Oreochromis niloticus: one gene and its partner. The protein of the gene in region 2 interacts with the protein of the main gene of each other region in a biochemical or structural test. Links are inferred from orthologs where the notes say so. Each region holds a gene or a part of one and is shown on either strand. Other genes may lie near its edges.

Region 1 (8,009 bases), on a different chromosome or scaffold from region 2:
TTTTGCTATGTCCTTTTTCTCTCAGCATATATATTTATTTTCCTTTAGATGAAAAATACTAAGGCATCCACAAAAGTCTCCCTAACAAATCTACAATGCCAGAAGGCTTACTGTATATCAAAACATTGCAGAACTTTATATCTTACACAGTCAGAACAATATTTACATTTTATGAACACTTTAAAGTAGAAAAATGATCATTTGCCAGTAGCATCACATAAATTTAAGCGAGCGAGGTGTGAATTAATGATGTCTTGTGGTGTTTTATTTAAGAGGCACTGGGTTGAATTTTCTCTTGTGAGCCAGCAGATGGCACTGTGTATATGTGGAAGTGCTGTCAGTTGTGTACTTGTCATTTCTCAAGATCAGCATTTTATCATTTTTATTACACTATTAAAGAATACCTTCCATATAAAAATACCTTACACATCTCTAAAGATGTCTCTAAAAATATTACTTATACATACAGACGTGTGTAAAAACACATATTAATGACACTTTAAAAAAAAAAGTTCTTTGTCATATTTTCCTCATCCTGTTCTTCTTTCATATCCTGCCTTTAATGTCACGCTTTTGTCACACTTTAAGAAGGCGAGTGGTGGAAGGGCCCTTTTCACATGTGCCACTTTAGCCTTTAACATAAACCACAATACTTTTGCGTGAAACGGAACTTTTGTTTTCCTCTCTGTTGTGTAAAGAGGCAGACAGTGTGTTTACTGTATGCAGCATAAAAAATCTGACATAATCAGATGCTTCATCTACATCACAAAGGGTTTCAAGGTAACATCAAGTTTAAACAATTTTTTAAAATTAGAAAAAAGAACCAGTTCTTCAACAAAGTCTGGGAGCGCTTATAACATGACACACACGTGTACAAACAGACACACTTTATATACAGTGTGTGCAGTCAGGACAGAGGAAACACACTTTGCTTTTGGCTCTTGGTCCATGGGGCAACCAGTCAACAGAGATCTGTGGGAACGTCTCCATCACGTTGCTCAAAGGGACATTTATGTGGGCGGCTAACGCACCAAGCAAGCCTATACTAGCCAAATCCTGTTTGTCTTGGTGCTCATCCCAACCTGCTGGAGGGAGAGATGGGAGATTAAATGTTATAATCTAAAGATTTAGTTCATTTGTCATCCCATACATAAGAGCATGGAGGGACAAATCAAGCCAGTTTGTCCGATTTCTTCTGCCGTAACGTTAACTGTGAGGGTTTCAATTTCCTCACTAAAAGCCACATTGATTTTGAGCAGCTTGCACCCCTCGTAAGCCTGAAAAATGACAAGTCTTTTTCACTTTATAATAATCATGACAGCGTAGGAGAGCCCTGTTAAGATACACAAGTACTTTCATGATGAACATTTTCAGATACCAGAGCTCGAGTCTGCAGGGATTCGACTGTATAAACAATCAGAAATTATTGCTTTGCTTTGTTTGTAACAGCCAAACTCTCAGGGGTGTCATTTTTTTTTATCTCTGCAAAAAAAGAAAGAAATTCTGCATGGGGAGGATGTTATGCATGTGAGACAGAGTGAGAGAATGTGTGTGTGTGTGTGTGTGTGTGTGTGTGTGTGTGTGTGTGTGTGTGTGTGTGTGTGTAAATAACCAAAGTGTAGCAGCTGTCTCAGTCCACCATACTGAGTTATAATAGATCAAAGGCAGCTAAACTGAAGCTCACTGTTGCACTCACAGGGTAGCAAAATTAACAGCTGCATTTACCTGCGTTTTGAAACTGTTTTGTTTTTTTTGGGGGGTTTTTTTAGAATTGATTGCAGTGTTGAGCAGTGAGTGGCAGGGCTTAACATCAGTTGCGTTGAATTGCTTCAAAAACAGGTTGAAACGTCTGCTCACACAAATTCTACCTTGATGTTTGAGAAGTAACACCGTCAGGTATCTGTTCACACGTTTGCTTTAGTTTGGTTTTGACACAAATCCCACTACAATTTTTGGACTTGTTACATTTTTATTGAAAGACCTTCTAAGAATTCTAGCATATGCTATAGATTCATATTTATTTGTTGCAATCACAGTGACACGACGACGGTCTCTATTGCAAACCAAAGATTACAGTTTGCTAAAATAACTTCCTGAAAAACCATGAATGCAAACCAGGACATGTAGTTGTGCACATGCTGTTTCAACGTCATAGACAGCCACCTCAAAGCGAGCAGCCCCAACAGGTCAGACTCTGGTCAAATGACCAAAAAAAGGGGGAAGGCAGCTTTATTCCTTTGTGTGTGTGTTTTCTACAGGCCTCTTTGTACTTGTTGGGCTATTGTACATTTCAGCACTGGTAAAAGTTTAAAACAAAATCTAATATGTGTGTTTGTTCATGGATTTTGTTTAGCGAGCAGTACTCATGCAATGGCACATTTCAGTCTGAACACCCACCTGCACCGTGAGTGCTGAGATGCTTCATTCGTAATCTTAAGAATAGCTCCTTCAGTCTGTGGTAAGCAGGGTATTTACAGCAGTTCAACATCCGATATGTAGTCAGATATAACAAAATGTGATTTCAAGATAAGAGCATTAAAAAACACGAACCACATCTGCTTTCAGTCAGCAGTGTAAAAAAATTAAAAGTAGCCCTTAGATTCTGTCATGTCTGGTTTTCAGTTAAAAACAGAGCGAGCTTTTTGTTGAGGTTAGTCAAAGATCCTTAAATCTACAACAAAGTCTAAAAAGATGCAGCACGTAGGCAAATTTACTATTCATTGTGCACCTGTTTTTGCACTGAGTCTCAGCAGGCTAGCTGACTGTCCGGATGGAGTTTCATGAACTAAGTGATGCAGCAGAGTAAAATTTCAGCTTCAGTAAACACATGAGAGGGTCGACAGGATGTTATCTGCTAAACGACACTCGCAGGATTTCCTAGTGAACTAGATGACTTAATTGCACAGTCAAATGATCACCCTGTTGTCTTTCAGCAGGTGAATTCAGTCCTGTCTTCTAAGACCAAAGACTGCGATGTCAGAAATATGACTGTAATCAGCCCGATAGTCATCACTGGTAAACTAAGTGACTAAGAGGGGGGGGGCCCGACAGGCAGCAACAAAACAAGCAACCACTTACTGTCAAGTGACTGCATATTAAAGGAACAATTGACTATTATTGGGGAATGGACTTAATATCGAAAGTTAAATTAGTTGGTTAACAGCTTAGTACAGCTGCTACTTATGAAGTAGTTACAAATTAGCTTTCAGATTTGATGTACACAAGACGTCAGCTTAGAAAACACGTTGCACTGTTTTCGATTAAGCTACCGACCAGTACTCTAAATAAAACGAGCCCCACCTTTAAAAAACTACATCAACAAACCCGTGCTTACACGTGAATGCATCAGTATTAGTGATCCAATAATATCAAACAAGACTAATCCAAGCTATGACGTCTCAATGTGCGCCTTTTTTTCTCCATAATGAAACCTGTCAAAGTTTAAGTATATATAATTGAGTAATGGATTATTTTTATAACTATGCTAGTGAATCACGACATATGACTTACATTAAACTGAATTGAATTTTTCTTGCCACGTTCAACTGGTTATCTTAGTAAAAATAAATAAATAAAAATAAATGTAAAAAAAAAACAAACTTACCAAATAAAGTGTAACCTTACTTGCTTAATCTGCAAAACCAGTATCTAAAAGCCGAACTACTTCTTGGAGGGGAACAATACTTTAAAGAGACTCACTTGTTCCATACACAGTTCCCGGAAAAAAAAAATAGCGTGACACATAGCAGGTAAATGATATACGAATGCAGTTTACTATTGGTGCATCTAAGTTAGAGCAGCTTTTCACAAGTGGTAAGCGGATTTTATTAGTTTTTAACCATACCAAAAGGTGATTTTTTTTCTTTTCTTTTAGCAGTCTTTGGTCTAAGGTAATCCACTGAGCTCTTGACTACTGTTAAAATTATATCAAACTATCTTAACTACCTGCAAGTTAAGTGAATATGTGCTTTGCTGAAGAGGTGGAACTATTCCTTTAAGTTATTTGTTCCACATGGCTAAACACCTAAGAAACAACACTTTTAGGTCTGAATTTTACATTACCTGTTTCTCCCATATGGGGCAAACAACTGAGAAAATCCACTATAATGGGTAATTTGATGCCTCTGCCTGTGTCCTCACGATCCCGATCGGTTGTGTTGAGAGGAGGGAGGAGAGAGAGCGAGAGAGAGGCAGGCTGACACGACCACAGCTGCTGCTGCTGCTGCTTGAGCAGAAAACCGCACAGCAAACACGCCGGACCTCTTTGACGCCGCGCTCCGGTGCGCACGGTGCGGACGCCACGGTTTGTTTGGGTTTTCCGTTGTTTGTTTGGGGTTTTTTTTCGAGTTTTGAAAGAAATTAACAACATCGAAAATAAAAGACAAACCATCCAGCTTCAGAAACAGAGAGTGTGCGCTGTCTCCTCTGCGCCTCAACACACCGATCAGGTCAGTCACCTTCCGGTCGGCACAGTATGCTGCGCTGAGTGTTGCGGTTGTTAGGCTGGGTGAGAAAATACGGGAAAGCACCGTAAAAAAGGGGGGGGGGGTGTATTTAAATTATTGAAGACTGGGTTAATATTACACTGTTGCAGTCTCATCTGATATTAAATATTCGTGCACGTTAACCAAAAAAGACAAAAGAAAACATGTTTGCGGTGATTTGGTTCAAAAGTAGTTTAAACAAGTAGATTCAAGCTGGAGACTTGTTGATTTATCCAGCTGTGTCTAAATCAGTATTGTCCCCGGTCTACATGTTAAGGTGGACACGCACAGGTAGCCTACAGTGTGACAGGATGGCTGTGGCACACAGATTGGGGGTGGCAATGACGGGGGGAGGAGGGGCGGGGGGCGGCCACAGGACTGACAACTGACACAAAGTCAGGTGTTGAGCCATAGTGTGCCTGAGGGCCATAGTGTGAGTGTGAGCTTGACATGCAAACACCAGGCAGAGATTTTACCCATCAAACTGACCACAGCTTCTCAGGTGAGTGCGAGGAATGCTTTGTTTGTTTCTGTGTATGTCGTGCTGAGAAACTTTGTAGAATAAGCATTTCATAAGCATTTATCTGAGTAAAAGAGGCTTTTTACAGGGCCTGTACAGTACATATGTGTATGTGTACTTCTCTGAAGTCTATACCTTTTGTGTCATACGTGGAATTTGTGGATATGTCGCACACGCTTCAGGCAGTTCTGTGTTCTTGGAATTGACAGGAAAATAATGGTGGTGACTCAGCAATATTGTTGACTGGAGCTCAGACTTAAACACTCGTTTCTCTTTGAGGCTTGCTGCGCGGCTCTGTGATAGATGATGTGAACTGTTAAACGTCTCGGTGGTATTCTTTTAAGACTCAGTAATGACACACGGTGAGAAAACTTGTAAGAGCCCCGTGTAAAGCGTAAGAGTGTCACAATAAGTTCACCTGTTTTCCTCATCGCTTTGTATGATCTTCATGTCAGTCGTCTCATAACACTGTGGGGTTGCTGGAAGAACATTCAGAGATATTTTATAACAGCAACAATCACTATTTTATCCATTATATCCTTCAAATCACAACTTTTCGTTCAAAACTTAGTTTGCTATTTACATGCACAAGGGCATTTCAGACATTTTTCATGTGTTTGGTCTGTTTACTTTCCTCTGAGTCTATTAGATGTTACATTTAACATCACAGCAGGCTTATTGTCACAGTATGTTGACCCTCAAAACCAAAAATTGGGAATCAATTGAAGGCAAATGTAAAAACAGCTCCCCAAGTGAGTAAGTACATGTCAGTGGTAGTAAATGAGCTGAAGCAGTCATGTTTTATCATAATATTCAGCAAAGATAAAGATAGTGGAAAATCAGCAGCAATATATTTTTAACAATTAAGTCAGAAAGTCAGAGAAACAGTGTCGACAAAACGGGAGTTATTTTATTTAAATATAGTAGTAGTACATTTTTAAGGGTGATCTCAAGTAACAGATCCTGTGAATTATTAGACATTTAGCAGAATGATCTCACAGATTAAACGGCCATGCAACGTGACCCTTGATGTAATACGGCTATTTTAAAATCAGAGAACTTCTGATAAAATTGTGGGTGAGAAATAAGAGAAGTTATAAAAAGGTTATTGTTTTGTTTTTTTCATTTTGTTGAAGTGATTTCATGTAAGTTTGGTAATACTGTTTGAAAAAGACTTTTTTGTTAACTTTTTGAATCTTTTGTTTCGCTGTGTCTGATTCAAATATTTGTGTCTAAAATCTCCAGGAACTCTTATCAGTTAGAGAAATATATCATATCTTTGGTGAAATTAGCCTTTAATCTCTGCATACGCTGCTTAAAATCTGACTACCCAATTGAGTGTGTTGATACATCATCAATCAGTGCCTTATTGCCTGTCGGGTTATATAACTGCAGAAGTGAGGTGTGTGTGTGTGTGTGTGTGTGTGTATGGGTGTTGGTGTGTGTGAGAGAATGACTGTGATAGATTTGGACTTTGCTTAGTTGCCATAAATGAAAGGAGTGCCTCAAGATACCATGCTATGTTTTTGTTGTCCATCACACGTGCTGAAAGTCTTGTTTGACTTTTCGTAGATGATATACTTCTGCACAAAGCCACAGATACAAAGTTCAGCCTCTTAAAAACACCTCCGCACAGACAATTGCCTTAGTTCTTGAAAATCTGTGTTAATTTAAAATCTATGATGAGAGAGTTGCCGCTCCTCTATGCAGCGGTTTTAAAATGTTGCAAAACTTCATTAAGAGCCAAGCATAATCACTGCATGAAAGGAAAGAAGACAGTCTGCGCATTTGTGTCTGCATAAAATCCATATAAAAGTGAATGGCACGTTCCTATACAGCCCACAGATAATTAACCACTTTTGTTTCTACACCACCAACACTTTGGTTTGTTTACTATATATCAGATTAACTTATTCTTACTGTGTTTTTCAAAAGCGCATGTTTGATTTACTTTTATCTGATGACATGCGTATTTGACGCAGTTTAGCCTTAAGGTCATGTATTTGTTTTTTCAATTGGGTGTAATTATTAACTTCAAGGCCAATCATTTCACCATTTACTGTATGTTTAAAGCAACATTTTGGCTGCGGAATTCTACTGACCGCCGAAATATGGGACACAAGCAGGTTATTTACAAATGAAAAATTCTGCTTTACTAGTTAAACTTTTATGTCTGGATCTCCCTTTCTTTAAACCAGTGTCCCCTCCTCTTTACTGTAAAATTTGTGTCTATACTGATTTTATTTGTACTGATGAGCATTATGATTTACTTGATTTTTAGCCCATTTTTGCAGGGTCGTATTTTTGCATTATTGTATATTTGGAGCTGATCAACATCAACTGTACATTTGGGAAATGTAAAAACGTCCCTCTGCTTAACATTTCACTATTTCTTAGACTGAATCAGAAGATTGAGTCTGAGGTTTAGCATGCTGAATGTGTTAGATGTGGGTTTTTTAATCAATGCAAATTGAGTCGACAGAACCTTTGGCAAGGTAAACTTTTTTGCAACCACAGCACCTGTTATCACTCTCGCAATGATTCCTAAATCACAACAACACCTGCTCCCTGAGAAGTGACTCATGTTTCTCATTTCTTTACATGCTGTCCTAAATAAATCTGTGTTTGTGTGGGAAGAGAACATGTTTTAGCTGCCAAGTGTAAACATGATGCCTTTCAGGTATTTCTCTTCTGATGCCCGCTTAAAATTGCCTCCTAAATTTTAGACTGTGAACATGAGGAATCACGTTTTCCTGGGGCTCATATTAAAGCCCTAATAAAGGCCCTAATTTTTATTAGAGATCTGTTTACTATTGTTTACTATTGGTATTGTCACGGATTAATCTACTGATTGTTATTAATTTAGAGTTCTCTGCAAAAAATGTAGGCATTTTATCCTGAATAATGAGAAACGATTTATTGAGCGTTAAACTTACCCCTGCTCAAGCATGTTAATCTGTTATCAACTTTCACGTGCTTGAAAACGAAGAGACGATATGTCTGGA
Region 2 (7,707 bases):
GGACATCTCAACTATGTTTATAGTACTGATGCCTTCTAGGGCATTTTTAATATAAGTTATCTGCACTAACTGCACATCCAACAGGTCCATTCTTCAGTTTGGGTTTATGAATTTGTACTAACAGATGCAACTTGCAAACCAAGCTTGTTAGCGTTAGCTGATAACATCACTCCATTCTTTCATAGTCCAGAATTAATTTTGCCGATATTGTAGGAAAAATGTTTTCTTCTGGAAATTACGTTTTCAATTGAAATGATCAACAAAATATATATATTATATATTTTTTTTACATGAAATGAGGGAAAGCAGAGAATTTCTACCAACAACCACCTATAAGCAGCTGCTTCTTATGCACACCTGTACATTCTGTTGTGATTTAACTAAACTTCTAATGTCTGATTATCCTTATCCTAGAAAAAGGATAGTATTTTATGAACAATATTGGATTTCTTGTATGAAAAGAGATGTAAGAAGTGTTGTTTTATTGAAATTCAAATGTATTTGTCCTTTTAAATCTAGCAGCTGGTGTAAAAAAATATTTTAGCTCCCTTTAATTGGGCTTGCTACATCCATCACACATATACAGTCTGTGTTCCTAACATTCAACAAGAAAAACAGATGTTTCAGCTGGAGAAAGCATTTTTTCAGCACTGACCTTCTCCACTATAAATGTACAGTTGACATACATGAGTCACTATGGAAACAGTTGCTGTGGCTGCATGCACCTAAATCTTCACCAATGTGTATATTATCTGTAACGTAAATGATATTTAATGAATCGAATGAACCAACACACCTTGATTGCTGGGTGGGTCTTAGTGGTGTCATTACTTTTTTCTCCGGGAATGCTGCCAGCAGACCGTCCCTCACACTTGTACCTAAATCTCATCCCCCTTTGCTTTGGCTGCTCGATAATCTCTATGTAGGGAGCTGTTGAGGAAAGCAAAGGCATTGTGTGCTCATTGTGAAATACTGCTTTACGTGTGTCAACACAGATACAGCCTCATCGATCGTCACTACACCCGAGGGTAGAAATGTTTACTCATGAAATCACTGCAGAGAACATCAGTAATTCTTTTTAAAAAGGAAAGTGCGCTTACCCTGGTTGAGCGGGGTAAGGCTCCATCCATATCCAGCTGTGATGAACAGAAACAAGAACGGAATTTAACCAACTTATTGAGAAAAACTGCAGGTTTTCCATCTACGACTTACACGAGGAAGCACACAGTGGTGGTGGAGATGACAAAAATAATAGAAAACAGATTTGTTGCATATTTGTGGTTTAGTCAGAGTTTGTCATTTGTGGTGAGGTCAGGGTGGAATTCTACAAGAGAGTGCAGCGTCCAACGGGGTCGAAGGACGCCGAGATACAAGGGCCTCCCAGCTAAATATAATCTCTGGTTGTCATAAACCACTTGCCTGCAAAGCTACCGAGAAGGAGACGAAGTGCAGAAAAAGGCAAACAATGACAGGCAGGGCTTTTAATATTGGTGTCAGGTTACCAGCTTTGTTGCTGGAAGCCTTTAGTGCAGGGAGCACTCCAGTTTCAGGCAATAAGTAAGGTGTGACACTGGATGAGTTGATCAAAGCTCCACCCATCAGCAGGCAGGACTGGTTCAGTTCAAAAGCTTGAGTAGAGTCCTTTCCATGCTGTAACATGTTTGCTTTCTAGCTTCAGCCCAAAGACATTATTCTTGCTTTTTAGGTTCTGATCATACCTAAAATGCCAGAATAATATTGAATGAAGAGGCTGCCTAAAGCCCCAAAGTCAAGACTAAAAATAACAAACAAACATTTTTAAAAAATGGATGACATAAGTCTGTAATGACTGCATTTTGACCACTTATGTGAAAGACAGTCTTTTCTACTTACTGAGTCTGGATGATGTGAAAGTGAAAGCACATACCCACAATGATCGAAAGATCATTAATGACTGAATTAAGAGCATCACACCTGAGGTCTTCGACACTGTTGCTAGAATCACTTTCATTTTTACTGACCGAACAAAGGGACATACTTTTTATGATGCTCAGTCAGATGATGGCTGTTTGTCGTGCCAATATCCACATCCAAGACAGAGATAAGTGACACTTATCAACAAACATAATCTATTTTAAGGGTTATAACATTTGCATAAAGTATGGCTGCACTCTAAACATAGGAAGTCAACAGAACTCCATTATAAAATGTCGTTTGTTTATGGTTTAGCCTAAAGGGAAAGGTATATATGGAATAAAATAGAAACGGGGGCGGCTGTGAAATCTTCACAGTATCTGCATACACGTGTTCTCCTGAACACAGAGCTTATTACCACAATTTCCTATCGGAACCGTTTTTGTCAATTAAAGCCGGTGTGGGCGGTTGCTAGCAGCGTCGCCCAATTAAATACGAGACTTTTTTATTGAAAAGAACGTTATACGGTGGTTTTAACCAGGCCGAATTTAAAATACACTATTCACTGTGACTGATAAGCTTTTGAGAGCGTGATTCACAAAGAGCATTTCCACTTACAAACAGAAAAACATTAAATGGCGAGACTTCCGAACGAAGTTTCAGTGGCTAGAAGGAAATCTCTCAAGTGGACAAACCCCACGGGCCTCTTGGCAGCGCGAGACCGTTTGGTTCGCTCCGCTCGTGCCAGTTGAGTTGTCCACACGCTGAGAAATTCATTCAGTTAAACATCAAGTTTCTCTCGGCTATCTCACATGTATGCGATAAACCAAAGTTAAGTCAAACTTCTGTCTGTACGTTAGTTTAGTATCCGGGAACAGACTCCTCCTGTTGGCGCAAAACCCAATGATAGCGGGGCTTTCCCTTGTGCGCAAAACAACTCCCTGTACAGTTTCACCTCCCGTGTCTGAGATGAGTAAATAAAAGCAGCTTCACTTACGGTCCATAGCTGTGTCCAAGTCCAGCTCACGCTCCTCGATATCCCCCGCTGTTTCTCAATAATTTGTATCTTGTTTAAAGCCAAAAAAGAGCAGGAAACACGGCACTACAGACTCCACGAAGTTCTTGACAGAGCCGCTCTGTCGCCTCCTTCGCTCCACCTACGTCTGTGTATGAGAGTGTACAGTTAGTAAAGCCGCAGGGATAGTTACGTTCATGCTCACGGGGTTTCCGGTAAGTAACATCTATTTGGGGAGCGATGTGTTGCAACTTTCTGTTTATTTTTTGTGCAACACACCTGTCGCCAAGTTGCAGCAACTGCACAGTACGTGCTTTGTTCTCTTCATTGCGATGTCTTTTTCTCACATAGTAGGCATTGTTTTTGTGCCACGTTTATTAGAAATGCAGAATCTGAAATTGGATAACACCTTTTATTTACTACGTAGGCAGCTATTAGCTTTATCACTAAATGTTAAATAAATGAATCAAATTTGTAGTGAACTCACAAAATCAAAACATGGCAGATTTTTTTTTTCGGGGGGTAATTTCCAAGATAACGGAAATAGCTGTGAAGAGAACAATAGCTTGGTTTATTTTTTATTTTTAAAGCATACATTACTGCCTTTACCAAGTCCAAAATTATCAATAGTTTGTTTTCATGGTTTTCACGCTTTTGTTGTGCCATAATAATAATTACTATAATCACATTAGTATAGCAGAACTGTGGTGTAATAGGAGTAGTGTATGCCAATTGTGCGTTACTTATTTTAAGACTTTGGTCTCTTTGCAAGGGACAAGCAATTGCTCATAAGAAACTACATGCTCTTATTTTGAAGAGGGAAAATTGCGTCGTTTCCGGCGCTGTGGCTAGCTTGATCCAGTTGCAGACCTCTGCCTTCTCTCTGCAGTGCAACTTGCCACCACCCACTCAAAACAGTGCGGAAATACCCAGTGACGCACTTGAAAGAAACTGAAAAATAAGTGAGTGGGAGAGGCAATAACATAACTCTTGGCTTGAGTCATAACCTGGAAGAGCCTTAAGATTAAGATCCAACTCACTTTTTTTCCTGTCTGTCGGTTCTCGGCCTCTTCTCTCTGTAAACAGACACAACATACAGATCTCAAGTTTACCAGCTGCTGTGTTTTTCTGGCCTGTCCTTCACACACGGTCTTACGTTACAAGTTTCTGGTCTGCTGGTTGCACTAGAAATCAGTGTCTACTTAATACAGTGTGATAATAGTGATAGGGCTTCAAACTCTTTTTTTCTTTCTTTTTTTAATCAACGATTATTTCACCATGTTGTTTTAGTCCAGTTGAAGACAAAGTAACGTGAATAAAGGACTAATTTTGCTCTCAGAATCAGTAAACAATATTTATATATCAAAACCATTACTCTTAAAGTGTTGACATATCCTGACCAGAAGGGGGCGCTCGAGGTGAATAAATCAGGGCCTTTAGGACACCTGTCCTTTGATAGAATGTGGTGAAAATGAAAACTTATCCAGATTTTCTTAGGGTAAACGATGTTTCATTATAAATAGAGTATATCTAATGGTAATTTTTGCATCGTTATTATTATGATTGTTGCTGTAAGAAGCCCTGGATAAGCTGACGCATTCAACGCAATCGAAAATCACAGGTAAAAAGCAAGAAAATGCAGTGAATATGTAATTGAGCATCTGTTTGTTTGGTTACCCTTATTTTCTAATACAAATACATTTTTGTACCCTTATATCACGATGTTTATGGTTGAGCCATACTTTATATAGCATTAGCTGAATTTGAGGCTTGAATTAGAAAATGAGGAGGAAAAAAAGTACGTGAAACTTATGAATATGATTACTATGTTTTCAAATTAAAAAAAACTGTCCACTGTTCTCCTTTCTTCTCTAGAAACTAAAATATCCGAGGCGTAGTTGAATGAGGCGTAATTGCCCTAAATGGGAGGCCGCGAAAGGGAGGCGGTTTCTGTTCGTTGAGGCGGTGTCTGCTCTGCCTGCTTCAGACTGCGGCGGGCAGAGCTGTTCGTTACAGAAATGGCGGAGGGGGAGTTGGACGTCGACTCGCTGATTTCCAGGCTTTTAGAGGGTGAGTTCACAACCAACTTTTATTTATGTATTCTTGTTTTGCCCAGTGTTAGCCCCTAATACTTATTTAGGTTTCATTTTTGACAAGAAAGGCCCGCTTTACGTGTTAGCGTTGCCCGGTTCTGGAGTGAGCAGGACTGGTCCTCACTGTCGTTAACAACAGGCACACCTTTTTATTCAGCAGCCGTCTTTCCTTCACGGCTCTTTTTAGATTAATTTGTAATTGATGTGGATACAGCTATGATCGAGCTTTTTTGTACACTGCATTTTGAAGGTTTGGGTGATTGAGTGGTAAGAAAGTTATTGCTAGTGGGCTGTTTGTGCTTCGATGGCTCCAGTATGGAAGAGAATGTCAGACCTATCTTACTATCCATCTTAGTCTAACTAGCTAATATTATAGTAATTAAGTGCTGTCTTACTAATGTCACAGCATCAATTTTATTTGGTGCATTTCTTTGGAATGCACCAAATAAAATACTTGGCAAGTTGTTTCTACTGTCTTTCAACCTATTATAGTCTCTGGTCCTTTACAAAAGCTCTGTTCAAAATACGCTGTGGAGGGCGATAGCTTCAGGGGCAAATGCTCAGCAAAAGTTGACATTTCCTTAAAAATAAAGTTTAGATTGACGATTGAGTGTAGCCGAAAGTGTTCCAACAGCTGCCTGATCCACGAGGAAGTAAAATCTTGCCTCTGATTTCTAAAAATTGGGTTTGTCTTTACTTCTAAGAAAAATTCAAAATATTTAAATGGGATTTGGCTTAAGGGTTTCTGAGCTGAAGACTGCAGCTCTGTGTTGTTTTCTGGCGCATATTGCTAAATGGCGATGTTTACACAAGCCACAGGCTTCAGTAGTATTCCCATTAAAACATACTTGTAGGAGTTCAAAACCTAAACCAAACTTTTAGCTCTACTACTCCGTGTGTTTTCTTATTCCATGAACGAGTGCATATAGTTTGTTCAGCTGGCCTTTTGATCATAAAGAACACACATTTTGTCAGCAGTACTATATTTAATAAGAATCTTTTCGATACTAGCTGTGGTTCAACTTTATCCAGAGAGACACTTGTTAATTCTGTATTCTGTGGTAGCTTATATGCATGTGGGCTGCTGAGCTGTTGTGTAAAAGTGTTTTTGCCCCTACTCCATTGTTATGTGTTGGCTAGCAGCAGGGGATGATTTTCTTAGCAGTGCTAAATGAGGGATTCTGACAGACAGAGGAGTCGATGTAGATGATAATTTCTTGAAAACAGATTATAAGCAGAGAGATTATATCTCTCTGAGTCAGTGGTGAACAAGCATTCATGCCAGATCATCTCATGGAAAGCAACTTCTGCTAATGATTGAACCCAATGTAGATGTGCAGTGCATGTCAGTATAACTTAATCATCTGGACTGACAGGAGCAGTGACATAATGGTGCTTGTTTTCTCTTTGTGCGTGATCTGTAGAGTGTAACAGTACTGTGCCTGCAAGAATTGACTATAGTATGCTGGCTTCATGTTTAGAAGTTAACTTCATTGCAGGAAATTGGAGGGATCTGGCCCTAAAAGCTTCCAGATGTTAGCCCTCAATGTATCCAACTATCCATCTCCTTTCATTCACTTTTCATCTGCAACCATTTGAAAATGTCTGGCTTTTTTGTTGGTGTGACCATATTATCAGAGGGGCATCATAAGCTGTACTGAAGGCTTTTAGTTCTGACTCATAACCAAAACTGGATGTATACGAAACCAGTTATCTGGTGATGGGTCACAAATACTCGGTGATTAGTAATAGATGGGCTGGGTGCATTTGAAATGTCTCCCAGTATTGCTGCAATGTCTAGATTTTGTTGAGCATACTCATTTCAGTTTGGATGGTGTGATGTTTTTGTAATCAGATTATCTGACATTGTTTCTGTGGGCTTTTTTAAAACAAAAGGTTTTAAATCTTATTAAAATAGGGCTCCAAGTAAACCCAATGTTCCTGCATTTAAATTACTTGTTTACTCCAAAATGGTGTTTCCCAGAAATGAATTTACTTCTGTAGGTTACTTTTGTATACTAATGCCTGTCTAAGAATAATTTGGGACTCCTTTTAGCAATTTTTTTTTTTTTTTTTTTTTTTTTTTTTTTTAAATTTCAAAGCCAGTCTTTATTTTCTTATCCATGGCCAATCCAGTTGCTATAATTCTGAGACTGCAGTTGCTGCTAAGCAGTTTCTGCACCAGCAGGCTGATGTGATCTTTGCAGCAACCCTCAATGTCACTGAGCTGCTTCCCCAGAGAGTCTTTCGTCCTGTGATTGGACAGACTCAACACCACCACTGTGGACTGCATCTAGCAACAGTAGCCTTCGTCTATTCTGGAAGTCCTCTGTGAGCTTCTCCAGAATCTGTGGCAGGTGGAGGTGTGGTTTATATGCTGTTATGCTGAACACCACAGAGCAGAATGAGGAATACTGTCGCTTACTGTTGATCTGGATAGTCGAATTGTCTGCTGTATGATGTCCTAACTGGGTAGACAGCTGAATATGAATAATGGTCACAAACGTTGTGTATTCCTATTATTTAGATATATAGACACAATCATATGCATCAACCTGCTCTCATCGTAAATCCCGTTTAGTTCTGTGGGAAAAACTGTAAAAGGTATTCGATTTTCTGTTATGGATTGTAAAGAAAACCTTTACATAGTGAATTTTAAGTAATTGGCTTTCATAAAAATGACCAAACACTTGGTTAAGTAATGGT

The links.
Region 1: the proteins of rela (region 2) and pparg form a complex in vitro, tested with the Homo sapiens proteins (3 studies listed by BioGRID, with this or other methods). The link is inferred for Oreochromis niloticus from reciprocal best matches to the Homo sapiens genes RELA and PPARG.

What each region holds. Positions count from the first base shown.
Region 1 is NC_031970.2:18,929,451-18,937,459, reverse strand, and holds the start of pparg (peroxisome proliferator-activated receptor gamma), read left to right. Parts: upstream 1-4,905; 5' UTR 4,906-4,934; coding exon of another isoform or gene 4,935-4,986; intron 4,987-8,009. UniProt on the Homo sapiens protein: Nuclear receptor that binds peroxisome proliferators such as hypolipidemic drugs and fatty acids.
Region 2 is NC_031967.2:4,865,093-4,872,799, reverse strand, and holds the start of rela (transcription factor p65), read right to left. Parts: upstream 3,100-7,707; 5' UTR 2,898-3,099; coding exon 2,891-2,897; intron 1,137-2,890; coding exon 1,101-1,136; intron 931-1,100; coding exon 797-930; intron 1-796. Other genes in the region: serine/threonine-protein phosphatase PP1-beta catalytic subunit, read left to right, coding at 4,927-4,978. UniProt on the Homo sapiens protein: NF-kappa-B is a pleiotropic transcription factor present in almost all cell types and is the endpoint of a series of signal transduction events that are initiated by a vast array of stimuli related to many biological processes such as inflammation, immunity, differentiation, cell growth, tumorigenesis and apoptosis.